Linked DNA regions of Arabidopsis thaliana. The protein of the gene in region 3 purifies or fractionates together with the protein of the main gene of each other region. This does not show direct contact. Each region holds a gene or a part of one and is shown on either strand. Other genes may lie near its edges.

Evidence for each region.
Region 1: the proteins of LCB1 (region 3) and AT1G06515 purify together in Arabidopsis thaliana (affinity purification with western blotting, with the first as the bait; one study listed by BioGRID). This does not show direct contact.
Region 2: the proteins of LCB1 (region 3) and AT5G42000 purify together in Arabidopsis thaliana (affinity purification with western blotting, with the first as the bait; one study listed by BioGRID). This does not show direct contact.

Annotation. Positions count from the first base shown.
Region 1 is NC_003070.9:1,989,559-1,994,145, reverse strand, and holds AT1G06515 (transmembrane protein, putative (DUF3317)), read left to right. Parts: upstream 1-1,917; 5' UTR 1,918-2,093; intron 2,094-2,161; 5' UTR 2,162-2,177; coding exon 2,178-2,262; exon of another isoform or gene 2,263-2,559; intron 2,560-2,630; coding exon 2,631-2,703; intron 2,704-3,182; coding exon 3,183-3,195; 3' UTR 3,196-3,512; downstream 3,513-4,587. Other genes in the region: AT1G06510 (forkhead-associated domain protein), read right to left, coding at 563-602, 686-1,122, 1,240-1,439, 1,601-1,757; AT1G06500 (uncharacterized protein), read right to left, coding at 3,560-3,970.
Region 2 is NC_003076.8:16,797,369-16,802,371, forward strand, and holds AT5G42000 (ORMDL family protein), read left to right. Parts: upstream 1-1,849; 5' UTR 1,850-2,086; coding exon 2,087-2,263; intron 2,264-2,344; coding exon 2,345-2,493; coding exon of another isoform or gene 2,494-2,497; exon of another isoform or gene 2,498-3,174; coding exon 3,175-3,313; 3' UTR 3,314-3,734; downstream 3,735-5,003. Other genes in the region: WNK8 (with no lysine (K) kinase 8), read right to left, coding at 105-194; AT5G42010 (Transducin/WD40 repeat-like superfamily protein), read left to right, coding at 4,912-5,003.
Region 3 is NC_003075.7:17,216,195-17,222,894, forward strand, and holds LCB1 (long-chain base1), read left to right. Parts: upstream 1-1,714; 5' UTR 1,715-2,093; intron 2,094-2,113; exon of another isoform or gene 2,114-2,222; intron 2,223-2,303; 5' UTR 2,304-2,403; coding exon 2,404-2,509; intron 2,510-2,621; coding exon 2,622-2,716; intron 2,717-2,840; coding exon 2,841-2,932; intron 2,933-3,012; coding exon 3,013-3,106; intron 3,107-3,184; coding exon 3,185-3,257; intron 3,258-3,351; coding exon 3,352-3,484; intron 3,485-3,622; coding exon 3,623-3,797; intron 3,798-3,898; coding exon 3,899-4,039; intron 4,040-4,125; coding exon 4,126-4,221; coding exon of another isoform or gene 4,222-4,245; exon of another isoform or gene 4,246-4,313; coding exon 4,314-4,455; intron 4,456-4,554; coding exon 4,555-4,682; intron 4,683-4,756; coding exon 4,757-4,930; 3' UTR 4,931-5,431; downstream 5,432-6,700. Other genes in the region: AT4G36470 (S-adenosyl-L-methionine-dependent methyltransferases superfamily protein), read right to left, coding at 1-112, 198-281; SFH12 (SEC14-like 12), read left to right, coding at 5,905-5,920, 6,000-6,325, 6,422-6,688. UniProt on the Arabidopsis thaliana protein: Component of serine palmitoyltransferase (SPT), which catalyzes the committed step in the synthesis of sphingolipids, the condensation of serine with palmitoyl CoA to form the long chain base 3-ketosphinganine.

The DNA.
Region 1 (4,587 bases), on a different chromosome or scaffold from region 3:
TTTTGTTTGTTTGAAAAGCTAAATATTATTGTTATTTCAGGACTTAGATGTTTAATTCTATATGGTTGATTCATTGGCATCATTTCTATTTCTTATCACTCGGGACCATTGATATGTATTGAAAATGTTTGCTTTATATGATTTTGTTTCTGGATTTGTATAGTCCATAATCTCAACCTGTCGCTTTAGTGCCATTAATTTTATTCCTAGAACAAATGAAATGATTTCAGAGTTAGTTGAAATCAATATTAATTGTATACATCTAATCTAATAGTATGTTATTCACTTATTATTTACTTAATGATGCTCCTAAGTATTGATATCACATTAATAATCATGATCCCATATCACAACAACATTAACGTGAACGACCATATTAACTTCATATCACATCAAAATTTAATGTATCACCTTAGAAGATATTAATATTCACACCAAGAAAATGACTATACCTGTCTAAACAGAATGATTAAAGAAAGGAAAATTGCTAGATTAACTTTTCATACCAAGAGTGGCTTCCTTTCTTTAGTTCACTGCGCTGGTAAGTAATGCTTGAAGCACACTAACTGATGTTTGCCTCTTTGCAAATGATATTTGCGATTCTACACAAGCAAAACAAAACTTAATGGACTGAGTAATTCTGCAGTGTTAGAAGTAAAACTTAGTGATGCTTTGAATGCATTACCTTTCCCTCACACGACGAATCTCTTCAAGAATTTCTGCAGTCTGCTGAACCTTAAGATTCTTGGGTTTATCTTCATGATTAAGCACCAAGGATGCAACATTTACAACAGTAACTAGTTCAGCTTCGATTCTGCTAAGTTTCTGGTCTAAATTTTCCAAGAAAGATTCATAAGAAGACACTTCTTTCAGGATGCTACCTATTGAAACATCTTCTAGTACATTATTATTGGTATCAAGAAGTTCTTGGTAATCCTCAACATTCCTTTCAATAAGTTGAATTCCCTCAGAATCCAAGTGAGTGTGGTCATTTTCGACCCCGTCTTCAGTAGATTCGGGCTTTGGCGATACAATGTGGATACCACCTGAAGTATTCTCTCCATCCTCTTCGAGATCCAAAGATATATTGCCTATCAGCTGTGTTTCCTTGACAGATATTGCCTGAAACCAAACCAAGCTTTCAAGACATAGTTAGATAGATTTCTGGGGCAATTGAAAACAAACAAACAACCAAAACAATAACATTTCTTAACAAGTAAGAGTATTGTTTGTTTGTACCTCGTTAAGTTTGGAAGAAAGCGTATCGAGCAACTCGATACGAGCTTTAGCCTTGTCCAAAGCTTGCATAACTTTTTTCTTCTGAAGAAGTAGATCTCTGGCATCATTCTCTTTCCCTGTTCGAACATTGACAGCTGCTTGTTCCCGTAGATTCTCTGCAGCCTCAGATAATCTCAAAAGTCTCAACCTATTACTGTTTGCTGGACCAACAACAACAAAGACCAAAAATAAATCAAATTGACATCATCAATCACTGGATTCACAAGCAGTAAAACCATGCTGAAACCAGCACCTCATCTTTCCAAAGTCTACGACTTTGAAATCACACATTAAAACGAAGATTAGCGAATAAAGATTCCACCTTTGGCACGAGTGGACTCTGCCTCCGCGTGAAGCCGATCAAGCTGGGAGCGAAGAAGGTCAGAATTTGCGGTGGCAGAGAAGCATCTCAGGCTCGTTGGAATCCTCCGAGACTGAGCAATCACCACCGGAACTCCGCCGATGGTCGTCGTCACCATGTTTGGTCTTCTTACAAAGCGCACACGTTCTGTGACATTGCAGTCTCCGTTATCCGGTTAGTTCTACAAACCGATTTTGAATACCTGGTTCATCTAAACCGGTAATTAAGACTAAACCGGGGTGGGAAAATGAATTGAGGATGAGATTAGTATTTACCGTGACAGAGTTTTCCAACTTTGACGTCTCCGTCAAAATTTGATTTCTCTTCTGTATTTGACGACGACACTTCAATCAAAATCTGGAGTCAGATACAGTTCCCTAGATCGAGAATCTCCAGGCGCTTTGTAATCCTGTTTAGTATATCTTTGTCAAGTTCTCTGTCAGAGATTTACCGGGTAAATTTTGAATCTTGGATCAGGTTTTTGTCAATTTCAGATTTGTAATCTCCCGCTTCTTACTGTAGGAATCGATCAGAAGATATGAACTGGGTTCAACGCAAAATCTACCTTTATAATGTCACATTCGGGCTCTACATGCTTGATTGGTGGGAACGATACCTCTTCAGTATCCTTTTTTCCTCACTCTATCCCTCCATGCTTCATTCGTTCTCTCCATCGATTTTGGTTTATCTGTGCTCCAATTTCGATTTACCCTTTCATTAGAAAGATGCAAGTTTTGATTTTTACATCTTTGGTGATATATGGTGGCATTGTGTTCTGTTCTCTTGTGTTGTCGTCTTAAGCATTGTGTCTGTTCAATTTTAGAATTTTGTTTTTAAAAAGCTACTTTCTTAAAATTTTGTCTTCAACTTCAGAGTTTGGATTATAGTCTCTACTGAATAATATACTGTCAATTGAGATAATTTTTTGCTAGTTTACAAGGACTTAAGATCTTTGCTTGCATCTTCTTTGCCTTTCCTCAACTCTTTTCAGATTCTTTGGTGGTTGTTTTGATGTGGTTCGTTTTATACAACGGTACTCGCTACTTTTCGGAGCTTTTCCAGAGGTAAAACACTTGATGATGCTCTTTGCGCACACCTTAAGCTTGTTAAGGTTTCCTTGACACTAATTTTGCTATTGTTGTAACAATTTTTGGTACTTATCTAGTTCTTTTTGCTACTTTGGTCTTATGGTTTCATTAGCGGGTTTCTAAGTGATGAGTGTTATGATACAATATGCTGTTTGGCCTCATCTTCATCTCTGAAACAAGTTTCACGGTTTCCCATGATTCGTAGTATATGTTTTCACAAAAGGATAAGTCCATCATTTACTTAAACATTATCCTACCTTCTCTTGTGCATTTAGTTAGGGTAGATATTAAGCCTCCCCAGAAGGTGATTGGATTGGAGTTAGAGAAGTCTTTAGTTTGCCTGATGGACTTACTGCTGCTGCTTGCTATCTGAATCTTATTATGCTGATTGTTCGAAACTTTTGAGAAGCAATTGAAGCTCTTTCATGATAATTTCTTGTATCCTCGCATTGCAGGCATTTGACATGAAAACATGTCTTGTTTCTCGCACAGTAGAGCACGAAAAGCCTAGATCATCCAAAGGCATGTACGTTTGGTTCCAATTTCTGAGACGTATACCAGCAAAAATCCCTCTTTCGGCGTCACCTCTGTTTTTGTTAATTTTCCTCCAAAGGCTCTAGGACAGTTCTTATGTCTCTATATTATTTGTTCCCATGTTTTTGCAATTAACAGAAATGATTTTGTAGACTCGTAAGATCGCAAGTCTTCCTGTTGTATTTCCAGTTCACTTAGAGACATAATAACATAGTTGCAGGAGTTAATGAACTTGCGGATTACATATAACAGAGCATAATTTTTAAGAGGGAGCTCTGTTCTAAATCTACAAACGAACTTAGGAAGAATCAGGGGTAACCCAATCCTTTGGCATTGCAGAGTTGAAGATCTGAAACAGCAAAGCTTGATCTCTCTTGCCTGGTCTTTTTGAACCAAATCCTTGATGCAGACCAAGTTCAACCGCTTCTCTTCCTTCTTCCGCTATTCTTTTCCTAATAGCTACCAAAGAATTTTGCGTCTCATCACAAGCTGCTACATGTCCATTTTCAGTGTTCTCTCCTCCACCATCTTCTCGTCCGCCTTTCTCTGCCCTTCCCCACCATTTGTTTGACACAGTTGTTAACCCGCCTGATGGGAATCCAAATTTGAACTCATCTACAGCTGCCACTGTCTTTGCCAAGTTAGTATTAGCCCATACATTTGACTTGCCACTCTTGTTTCCCCCATGCTGCACCGTCGAATGCATCATCGTGTGTGTGTCCTCGGGTTCAGATTATGTTACGAACCACTGTAATTAAAAGAATCATGAATCAAAGGGAAAGAAAAACGATACTAGTAAGCACCAGTTTTAACCATTATATCAAGAAGAAGACTTGAATGTTTTCTTTTTGAACAAAACCAAACCACACAGAGAAGAGGGTCTCGCAAATATCAACAGTACAAAGACATAATACAGGAACGTTGCTACATCTGTGAATTAGACCCAGAAGCCTCTAGAATCAAAACATAGAGGCTCAATACTTCCTGGAATCAATGTGTAAGGAACTAGATCTGGAATTAGACAGCCTAGATAACAGTTCCCTAAACGACTCAAACGTTATGAATTTCAGAAAAGTCCAGACCTTTTCCAATTTTCATCTGTATAACATACCCAATTGTGGCACTAAAACCCTAATTTCATGCGTCTGATAAAACTCTCTGCATTGAATCGAAGATTACCTTCTTCTTTTTTCAGAGAGCGTCCTCTTTGGCGTACCCTAGAGCGAAAACAAACAATCCAAACAAGGAAAATAAGAAAAGCCTAGAGCTTTAGATGAAGTATCAAAGTATAAAACACTCGGTAGAGAAACCAATCTTCAGATTTTC
Region 2 (5,003 bases), on a different chromosome or scaffold from region 3:
TCTCAAATTCTGATCAATTTCCTCATAATTCAACAATAAAAAACACTCAACCAAACGAGATTGAATGCAAATTCACACATGAATCAACGAAGACAGTGACGTACCCTGATGTAACGGCCAGAAGGATCTTTCTCGGCAAAATCAGCCTCTTCCATGGACGATATCTGACCTAAAAATCCAGAACCAGAAGCCATATATGTATGCACAACACAACAAACAAAGCAATCGAGAACAGAAGGAGAAGAAGAAAAAAGTGGAGAATTTAAGGTGAGATTGAAGATGAAAAGAAAGAAAGCTGAAGAGGACGGAGGTTATTACAAAGAAAAAGGTTATAAGAAGAAGAAATGGACGGAGGAGATACAATCGGAGAAAGCCTCACGAGCGAAGCAATAAGAATCGATTGAAGAAGTTCGAAATCGAGATCGGAAACGGAGTTTGGCGGCGAAAGAAATCCCCATCATCTCCGATTTTCCGATTTCCCGATCTCTTCTCCCGTCGTGATTCCGTCTCTTCTCTTTTATCCGATTAAATCCTTCCATTGATGATCCACCATGATTTTGATTTTGGTCCCCGAAAGAATCTGCTAGATCGATAGAGAAAAAACGAAGGATGATGATGATGATGAAATCAATGAAAGGAATTTCGGAGAAAGGGAATTTAGGAAGAACAAAACAAAAAAAGGTTGGCGGCCAAATAAATCGGAAAGTCAAATTATCTGTCTTTATCAACTAACGCACTTTCTCTTATATTTGAGATTATTCTACTAATTATGTATCCTCTGTTTTCATTTTATTTCAGCTGACTTTAGGCCATTTATGCAATTACATGTTTCAGGTTATGAATAATTTCTACTAATAAAACATTATGCTAGGTGCACCAAAAAAAAAACATTATGTAAATCCTCAGAAATACGATGTTATTTCCTTTGTTTCAAAATATAAAATGTTTAAAACAATCACACATATTAAGATCATTCTTTCTAAAAAATATTATTTATAGAATTAAAAATTTTAACTAATCATAAGAAAAAACTGCAGAATATAAATGATCACAAATTATCAAATACATTTAATTTTCATAGAAACTAACAAAATATTTTTTAATATTTAAAAGATAAACTTTTATAACATCTTATATTTTAATTAGAGGGAATAGTAATCTATTTAAAGTTTTTTTTCTGTGCATGGAAATCAAGAAATTGTGGAATCTAAATTCTATAAGTTTAATAAAAAGATATAGCTAGTTCAAATTTAATGAACCTTGGATAGTATAGCATTAATACGAAATCATTTTGTCGTTGAATAATATATTTTGTGTTAAAAGTCCAATTGCTTTTATTGAATAAGTTGGTGAGACAGAGTGTGTGATGAAGAAAAGAAAAAACAAAAAAATTGTAAGTTTGTCTTAAAAAACCAACGAGGCTTAATCGTGTTTATTGTAATCATTAGGTGAATCTAAATCTAATCCTCATCAAGTTGAAAATATGAGAAGAACAAAAAACTGATAATTTTAGATATTTATTCGAAGATGTTTTTTAAAATGGTATTTTATTCGAAATATTTTTCACGGAAGCACTGGATGGAAAATTTGGTAGCAAAAAAAAAAGGATTTCGAAATTTGGCAGCTAAAATTTGTTCAAAAATAAAATGAAATAACTCTTACTAATATGGTCAAGAATTAACTTCAGAACATATTTTGAAAATGTAAATTAAATTATCGGATGAAAAGGTACGGGTCGGGTCGGAAAACCGGTGTGTTTTGTAATGGGCCTCTATGTAAGCTGACAAGAAAAGTCCAATAAATTAAAAATATGAGTCGTCGTGGTTTATCGAGTGACGCGTTGAGAGTCTTGAGACAGAGTTACTGATAATCATTGTTTTAGGCTAAGATCGGTGAGCCACCCAACCACCTTCCTATTTTAATTTAATGCTTCTTTTTAAAAAAATTGTAGAAAATAAAAAGCCCAGAAAGAGCCCAAAGAACGCAGCAGAGAAAAAAAAAACAAAGAAGAAAGAAAACTTGCTCAACGACGATTCATCAATCATCATCTCCGATCTTCTTCCAAATCCCTCCGGTGAAAAAGACGATGTACGTAAGAGCACTTCCGACGACGGATGTGAATCGGAACACAGAGTGGTTCACATATCCTGGTGTTTGGACTACTTATATTCTCATCCTCTTCTTCTCTTGGCTCCTCGTTCTCTCCGTCTTCCATTGTTCTCCTGGCATCGCTTGGACCATTGTTCATCTCGCTCATTTCACCGTATTATTCCCGATCTCCTCCGATCCAATTTCGAAATTGTTGGTTTCTAGATTTGAATTTTTGAGTTTTTTTGTTTTCTAGGTCACGTATCATTCCTTCCATTGGAAGAAGGGAACACCATTTGGAGATGATCAAGGAGTCTATAATAGATTGACTTGGTGGGAACAGATTGATAATGGCAAGCAGCTTACACGTAATCGCAAATTTCTCACCGTTGTTCCTGTTGTCTTGTAAGTTCCTTCTCTCATATCTCATTAGGATTTTGTTTTGCATCATCATCTCTTGTTGATCTTGTTCAGTATCGAAAAATTGAATGCCTTACCTTATTTTCTATGATTGTTTCTGTATTTGGTGTAATTTTTGCTTAAGTTATGTTTTAGAGATACATTGATCTTCGTTTCCCTACCTACTTGTTCTTTATCTTATTGTAGCTCATTTTACATCTGGTTATATAGAGATGCTAGTCAATGAGCTTAATTACAATTCTATTCCTAGGTGAAGTGGTTGTTTTGACAATTTGATTTGCAATTATTACTACACAGAATACATTTTGACATGACAATCAGATACACAAGAGTCAAGACACTACCGTTCTTCTCATTTTGATTTCTGTTTGTTGACTAGTGCTTCAAATCTGTTCACTGATTAGGGTTGGACCTAAGTTTCCTACTATGATTAAACTCGCTTGATTATTAAGGTCTTTTAGCTAGTGCTCAAGAGCCTTGGATTTAGATTTAGATTTAGACATTCGTACAAGACATAAGGTCTGTTATGAGTTTGCTGAATCTCTCTTAAAAGAAGCACTACTAGATTATGTGTAGTGGAATACCTCAATTGTGTTGTGTGTGACGAATATGTAATCAATGATTGGATCTTTGTGACATAAAAGTCTGACCAAACTTTGTATGTAGGTACTTGATAGCCTCTCACACAACAGACTATCAGCACCCGATGCTCTTTCTCAACACACTGGCTGTATTTGTCATGGTGGTTGCGAAATTCCCGCACATGCACAAGGTCCGCATATTTGGAATCAATGGAGACCAATGAAAAAACTTGAGAAAACAAAGAAAAAGGTCTGTGTATAATGCGAATCAGAGTATTTGGAATGTGGAATCCAACAACAAATGCCATCATCATCATTCAACATGTCTGTACTATACAGACATTGAATCCCTTAACCGGAGAAAATGTGTTATTTGGTCACATCCCATCATCGCATATTCAAACCTTTCTACTCTTTGTTTGGGGCTTCTAATCAATTCATATTTGATCTCTTTTGTGGTTCTCTTAGTTTCTTATTTGTATAATCCCAAAACTGGTTACAACAGAAAGTTGTTTAGCGAGCAATCTAGGGTTTGAATGAATAGTTGGGGAAGATTTATTTATATATACCGTTTTTGATATATATATATATATCATCTTTATAACTAAATCCGATGATTTTGTTGTTGTTGGTGAATTACGTTAGTGACAAGGGTAAAGACATTTTAGCACACGTGAGGTAATGTATTGAGCTCAAAAGGGAAATTGACAAAATCGTGTTCCCACCACCTGAAAACAATATTTTTTTTTTATATTCAAATTTACTGTTAGTGTGTAAATGAATAATTAGATGACATTAAACCAAATTAAAAACAATAGGGAATTTTTAAAAACAATTTGTCCATTTGTACCCTGAGTTATCACCTTGTTCCTAATTGTTTAGTGAATAGGTGGGTAACATATATCGATATTGACTCACACAAAAAAGACTAGAATTTGTTCATCTATCAATAGGCAAATAACTAAAACAAACAATGACCAAATCAAAACGTGGAAAAACAAAAAAAAATAATGGGAAAGATCAATTTTTCTTAAATTAAGATGTAGTATAATGTCGTTTATCTCAAATCAAGAGAAGAAAAGTAAAAATACATTAAAGAAAGACAAATCAACATATGATTATTGAAATAAAAGTGGGATTAGAATATTCATGTTGACTAAGTAAGTGCAAACAAATGTTTGACTATTTCAAAATTAGTTTTTTAATAAATAAAAAAACAAGAGAGAAGAAAAAGACAAAAGAAGAAGGAAAGGATCTTTGTTCTGTTTTATTTGTTTCTCTCTTCCTCTCTTCTTCTTCTTCTTCTTCGTACAATCGAAGAAACAAAACCTCTCAATTTCCGAATATCTCGCTCTTAAACCCTCTCCAATATCTTTCTTTCAAAACCCAACCTTTTGTTTATAAAAACCTTCGCAAGGATTTGCGACTTTAAGAAACGTGACCCGAATCGTCGCAATGTTTGGATAAGAGTTTTAAACTCATTCGTTTCGATGCAATCATTTTGACCAGACAAAGACTATTTATAAGAAAGAGCAGAATTTTGATTCAAACCCGGTTTGATTTTGGTGAAGATGTAAGTAAATCTCTCATAAACTCTTCGTTTTCTCTGTTGGGTTCTTTGCTTTACCCTTAAGTAATCTCCTTTTTGCCGATGGTATTGATTTGCCATGAGTTTATCTTACTACTTCCTTTTGGTGTTACGTGTGGATTAGTTTTATTCGAACCATGGTTGCAAATTTCTGTCCTTTTTCAGCAATTGTGTCCGATATTTGACTTTGTGAATTCTGACGAAATCTGTGTGTTTTTGATCAGAAGCTGTGAGATGGGTACTCGAGGGAACGAGGAAGAGGAAGATTGGTTTTCTGATGCTCGTGAGGAGGTTTCATCTGTTTCTGATTGTAACTCTGAAGTCGC
Region 3 (6,700 bases):
GTCCTGAAGAACATCCTAGATCAGCTATTCCTAAACTCTTTGGTCTTGTCTCTTTGTAGAGTTGTTGAAGTGTCTCTAGTGTTATGTGCTTTGCCGTATCAGATGCTTTCTTCTACAAGATTAAAACAGGAAAAGTGGTTATAGAGAGTCAAAATTATGAACTAAGTGAAGATATGTGGGAAATCTCAAGAACCTACCTGGAGGGAAGAGTTTCTGGCATAACTAGTTTTTCCATCTCCTCCTGTCATGTAAAACTCTCTCTCCATATCCTTCTTATCCATCACAATAACAATAAAAGTGAAGAAATTTAGTATAATTTTGGGTTAGGGTTTGTTCTTTTGGTGTTAGAATTTGCTTTTCTTAAAGGAGAAATCTTTGGCCTGTCACTTCATTCTTCCATTACCCTACCTTTTTTTTTGTGTGTTTACTTTTCCATCTATTTTCTTTCTTGAAAATACGATGTGGGATTCGTTCATCATTGGTCATGATTCAACGAAAATAAATTTTTCTTTGGTTGGATGAATTTAGTTTAAGGAGAAATGGCAGGTGTAGTCCAAAGTGACCAAAAATAGGAATAAACAAAGTAGAGGATAATGTTTCATGTAAATATAAAGGATAAATTAGTCAAACAACATCATGATGGCTTCATGTAATGTTTGTACTTTCTTTACTCTGTTCTTGCTATCAGTGCTAGACTCTGTTCTTGCTTTGCGTGGTGGACTCTATTGCCATTTCTTGTTTAAGGACTTTTATTCGTTTAAACATAAACTAAATTTCATTAGAAAAATTACCCTTGCTAGAATCTATTTGGTGATTTATATGAAAAATCGTGGAATAGAATATGGATGATATTTTTAATTGTAATGTAAATGTTTCAAAACATACAAAAAAGTATAGGAAACTTTGGGAGATAGGAGGAAGAAGACTGATTGACTTTTGAAGGTAGAAAAAGCTATACAAGAATGAGTGATGATGATTGGTGTGTGTGTGTGTGTGACCACCATTTCCTTCTCTTTTTCTCTCTTTCTCCTTACCGTAAGGCTTTTTTAGTAATCTTCTTTCTCTCTCTGCCTTGCCTTCAAGATTTTAGTGGTGGTCATGAATGCTTGTTGCGTCATAAGGGTAGTGTAAATGCTCTGTTAGGTGAGAGAGACTGTGTGTTGGTACTTGGTATGATAAGGTTTTTGTGGTTAGAGAGAGGGCCGAGGGGGACGCACGCGTGTCGCTTGAGGGATTAATGCAAAACCGTAACGTATCAATCTTTTTTCTTCATATAATCTCTTCTTCAACCATGATCGTCTCTCTCTTGTTGCTTACGTTTTGTTTTTTCAAGTGTGGTGAAAAGTTAATCACTTAAAAGTTAGTCATTGGGCCTCTAACAAAGCCCATATTTAAAACCTAAGACCGTTCCATTAAAATGACGTCGTATCTAAGCAACTAATTCGTGAGATGTAAATATGAATATGATATGATACTATGGTTGAACAGAATAGGAATAATATATGTATAGTGTAATGTAAATGCTACAAAATATTACAGAAAAAGTAGGGGGAACTTTGGGGTCGAATATGATTACAAGAAGGTTAGAAAAAAGCTAAACAAGAATGAGTGGTGATGATTGGTGTGTGTGACCACCATTTTCCTCTTTCTGTCTCTTCCTTACCTTTAGGCTTTAGTACTCTTTCTTTCTCTCTTTGCATTGTCCTTTAAGACTTTAGTGGTGGTGATGAATGCTTACTAGTGACTGTGTCACAGTGTGTGCTGTTGAAACATTGGGCCTCTAGGCCCATATCTAACACTTAAACGGCGTCGTATCGATGAACCAACACACAGATCTGGGCCCAGGATTCTACTGACGTATTACGAACATAGACAGATCCGCTCGTCTTCTTCTTTTACTTTTTTTTTTTTCTCTCTGAAATTGATTTTTTTTTTTTGCCGTCTGCGTTATCAAAAATCTCGAAAAAACGTTGAAAGTCAATCTTTTTGCATCGCCGAATTTGAACAACACTCCTCGTGTGTTTGACACTCTTGTGGGCACGATACCTTCTGCTCCTTGTCCATTTTGCCACCCAAAATCCAATTGGGATCAGGTAACGTTCCTCGTTTATTTGTCGGATCTATTTGTAATCATATATACTTTCTTAATCTGTTCTCCGAGATTTCGATTTCTCGTTGCTCAGTGATCCGATGCCAGATCTTTCCTGATAGTTTTTTTTTGGGTCGAATTTGGATTCAAAATTGCCACTTTTTGTTGTGAATTTTGAAAATTTGTAATACTAATTGAAGATTGGGTTTTGTAGGTTTTCCCAAAGTTGAGCTAGCTTCTCTTATGCTCGATTCGTCGAGCAAATTAATACTATAGAAGAAAAAAGTACAGAGCTTTATTAAAGCAAATTAGCAATGGCTTCGAATCTCGTGGAAATGTTTAATGCTGCTTTGAATTGGGTTACTATGATTCTGGAGAGTCCTTCAGCTAGAGTTGTCTTGTTTGGTGTCCCAATCCGAGGTATAGATTTGAAGAAACAACTTTAAGTGAACTTTGTCTGTCTATCCAAGTTTGTTGGTTATTTGAGATTACTAAAGATTTCAACTTTTTTGTTTTTGTTTTCGTTTTCCAGGGCACTTCTTTGTGGAAGGGTTGTTGGGTGTTGTCATTATCATTCTCCTCACTCGGAAGAGTTATAAACCTCCCAAGCGACCATTGACCGAGCAGGTTCTGTCTCAGATCCTTTCTTGATATTGGTTTGATAGATCACATAGGATTTGGTTCGTGGTGACATCTTTGATGTGTGGTATAGTTGAAATGTATTGAGTTTTCGGGGTTTTTTATTACTCAGGAAATAGATGAGTTGTGTGATGAGTGGGTTCCTGAACCTCTTATACCGCCAATTACTGAAGACATGAAGCATGAGCCACCAGTTCTTGAAAGGTAACGTAGAAGACTTCTATGTAGTTCGTTGTATAGCCTTATTCTGTGTTATGCTTAAAGATTTTGTTGGGTCCATACAGTGCTGCTGGACCGCATACAACAGTTAATGGAAAAGATGTGGTGAATTTTGCCTCAGCTAATTATCTTGGGCTCATTGGCCACGAGAAGTTGCTGGTAACGTGAAGCTACTTTGTTTTCAATACAATCTCTCTTCTGTTTGAATAGTTTTATTTAAGATTTGTCTTATGCCAGGAATCATGTACTTCTGCATTAGAAAAATATGGGGTCGGTTCTTGTGGGCCTCGTGGATTCTATGGTACAATTGGTAAGAAGACAATAATTTTCTAAATAGATACTTTGGTTCATCCATTGGCTCGCTTGGAAAGGGTTCTTACTGTTTGATTACTTCTCTTGACTAGATGTCCACCTTGACTGCGAAACCAGAATATCCAAATTTTTGGGTACTCCTGATTCAATCCTTTACTCTTATGGACTTTCCACAATGTTCAGCACAATTCCTTGTTTCTGTAAGAAAGGCGATGTCATTGTTGCGTAAGTACACAATTTCTTATAACATCGTTCTACTTATTAGATTACGTTAGTAGAAATCCCAGGATTACATTGAACATCTTTGTTTGAAACTTTTTTATCTCGATATTAAACTCATTCTTGTCTTTTCTATTTTCTTAGTGATGAGGGTGTTCACTGGGGAATACAAAATGGACTTCAGCTTTCAAGAAGTACAATTGTGTACTTCAAGCACAATGACATGGAATCCCTTCGAATTACCCTTGAGAAAATCATGACAAAGTACAAGCGCTCAAAGAACTTGAGGCGTTATATTGTAGCTGAAGCTGTATATCAAGTACCTGGCAGTTTTCTTTCTTCTCCTGCTTCCATATTTTGAAAATTCTCCCTGAACTGTGATGCTTACCCATTTGCCTTTGGGTATGTTAAAATCTACAGAATTCAGGTCAAATTGCGCCTCTGGATGAGATTGTAAAACTAAAAGAGAAGTATCGGTTTCGTGTTATATTGGATGAAAGCAACTCTTTTGGTGTGCTTGGCCGTTCTGGGAGAGGTCTTGCAGAGCATCATAGTGTCCCTGTAAGTATGATTGACACACATTTTAGTAGTGTTCTCATTTGCCAAACCTGATGCTAAAAATTTCACGGCGGTTTATCTTTAAACAGATTGAGAAGATAGATGTTGTGACTGCTGCAATGGGCCATGCATTAGCCACAGAAGGTGGATTTTGCACTGGGAATGCCCGCATCATCGATTACCAGGTAAACATCGATCATGCTGATTAACTAATTACAAACAAAATTAAAAAACTACCGATAATAGAAACTTTTCTCTGGGACGCTCAAATGCACAGAGACTTAGCAGTTCAGGATATGTGTTCTCTGCTTCTTTACCACCATACCTTGCAAGTGCTGCTATCACCGCCATTGATGTCATTGATCAAAACCCTGATATGTTAGTTAAGCTGAAGCAAAATGTTGCTCTGTTATGGAAAGGTTTGATCTTCAAGTTTTAATCTAATCTAGCAACAATTAGAGTTTGATTTAGTTTGTTATCTTCCTCTAATTGAAAAAGAAATGCTGGGAACAACGCAGGATTGTCAGATATCAAGGGGATGTCATTAACAAGCAACCGGGAATCACCTATTGTTTTCTTAAAATTAGAGAAATCTAGCGGTTCAGCTAAAGATGATTTGCTTCTACTTGAGAAAATGGCTGACCGTGTAAGTTCATTGTTTCTTTGCAAAACCAAATCTAGACCCTGTCCCCGTTTCTTGACATGACTAGATGCATGCAGGCTCTGAAGGAAGACTCATTGTTGGTTGTGAGTTCTAAAAGATCATTTCTTGATAAATGCCGGTTACCTGTGGGAATCAAACTCTACGTCTCAGCGGGACATTCGGAATCCGATCTTCTTAAAGCGTCGGAGTCACTGAAGAGACTTGCTTCAGAGCTTCTACTCAAGTCCTGAAACACCGAAACTCTTTTTTCTTCAAGAACAACAACACTGAAGGGAACTCTTTGAACACATCCGTGTGAGATAGTAGACAACAGAATCCGCAGAGTCAGTAGCTTGAAGATGTTCATAGCAGATTCCTAAACTGGTTCTCCACTTTCAGTGATGGGCTTGTGGTTGATCTGAAGCTCAATTGACGAAGGAGGATTATCGAAGACAATGGCTTCTTGTTCTTACATTTATTTCATTTGATCATCTGAGTTCTTTTTTTTTTTTTCCTACTCATACCCTTCAATGATCAAGTAGCTTAGTGTTGTTGCCGAAATTCAAAAACTTTCAATTTATGGGAAACAAAAAAGTTCATGTGCTGACATCAGCCTCTTAAGGCTTTCTGAGTTTCTTGCGGTAAAAGAAAGTGTTTTTGCCTCTCTCAAATCTCAATAGTATTGACACGTGTCAGTATAACACTCGTGCATAATTGACACGTGTCAGTATAACACTCGTGGGCGGTATAATGTGAACGAAAGAGCGAGGGACAGGTAATCTCTCTTCCTCTGTTTCTAAGTTTGTATAATTAGAACTGCATAACGAAAAACAAAAACAAAACAGTGACCAAAAAAAGAAGAAGAATCAATGGTTGGGGAAAGAGAGAATATGAGGTGGAGCTTTACCTCGACGTTAATGGAGTTGAGAATCCAATGGAACGATTTTGAGAGATTTTCGGAGCAATCTCACTCTCCTTTTATCTTTCTCCTTCCTCTCATTTCCTCTTTGCAGAGGTAATTTATCTTTTAATTGTCTCTCTGTTTTGTTCTGTTTTCTTAACTTCATGTTCATCGTTATCGTTGTTCGAATTTGATTTGTAATTAGGGAATGTGAATTTCTTACAGGAATTTGGCAAAGGGCATTGGCTAAAAATAATAAGACACTCGTTAGAGTGCTCGTCCCTCGTGCCCTTACCTGCCTAATTCCAACTATCTGGCAAAATCATGACTTTGATCCAAGGTATAGTAAACAAAAATGAAGAGATTTTTTAGTTCTCTGTTTTGTTATCTTCTTGTTCTTGATGTTGTTTTGTGTTTAGATGCCGAGTTGAAACCAAGGATGGGTTCTTTTAAGAAGAGGAGCTCTTCTAAGAATTTGAGGTATTCAATGACAAAGAGAAGAAGAAGTAGCAAAGTGATGTCTGTGGAGATCATCGAAGATGTGCATGACGCAGAGGAGTTGAAAGCCGTTGATGCTTTTCGCCAATCGCTTATTCTCGATGAGCTACTCCCGGAGAAACACGATGACTACCATATGATGCTTAGATTTTTGAAGGCTAGAAAATTTGATCTTGAGAAAACCAAACAGATGTGGACTGAAATGCTTAGATGGAGGAAAGAATTTGGTGCTGATACTGTCATGGAGGTATGATTATTATTCTAGAGGAACGTTTTGCAGATTTGAAAATGGTCTCTTTGAGTAGTACTAACATTCTCTTCTTTGGTTTTGTATATTTTTAAGGAGTTTGATTTCAAGGAAATTGATGAAGTGTTGAAATACTACCCTCAAGGACACCATGGAGTTGACAAGGAAGGACGACCTGTGTACATTGAGAGGCTTGGTTTAGTAGATTCTACCAAGTTGATGCAAGTCACAACCATGGATAGGTATGTCAACTACCATGTTATGGAGTTTGAGAGGACCTTCAATGTTAAGTTCCCAGCGTGCTCTATCGCCGCGAAGAAGCACATTGATCAGAGCACAACTATTCTTGATGTCCAAGGAGTGGTATGTAAAAAA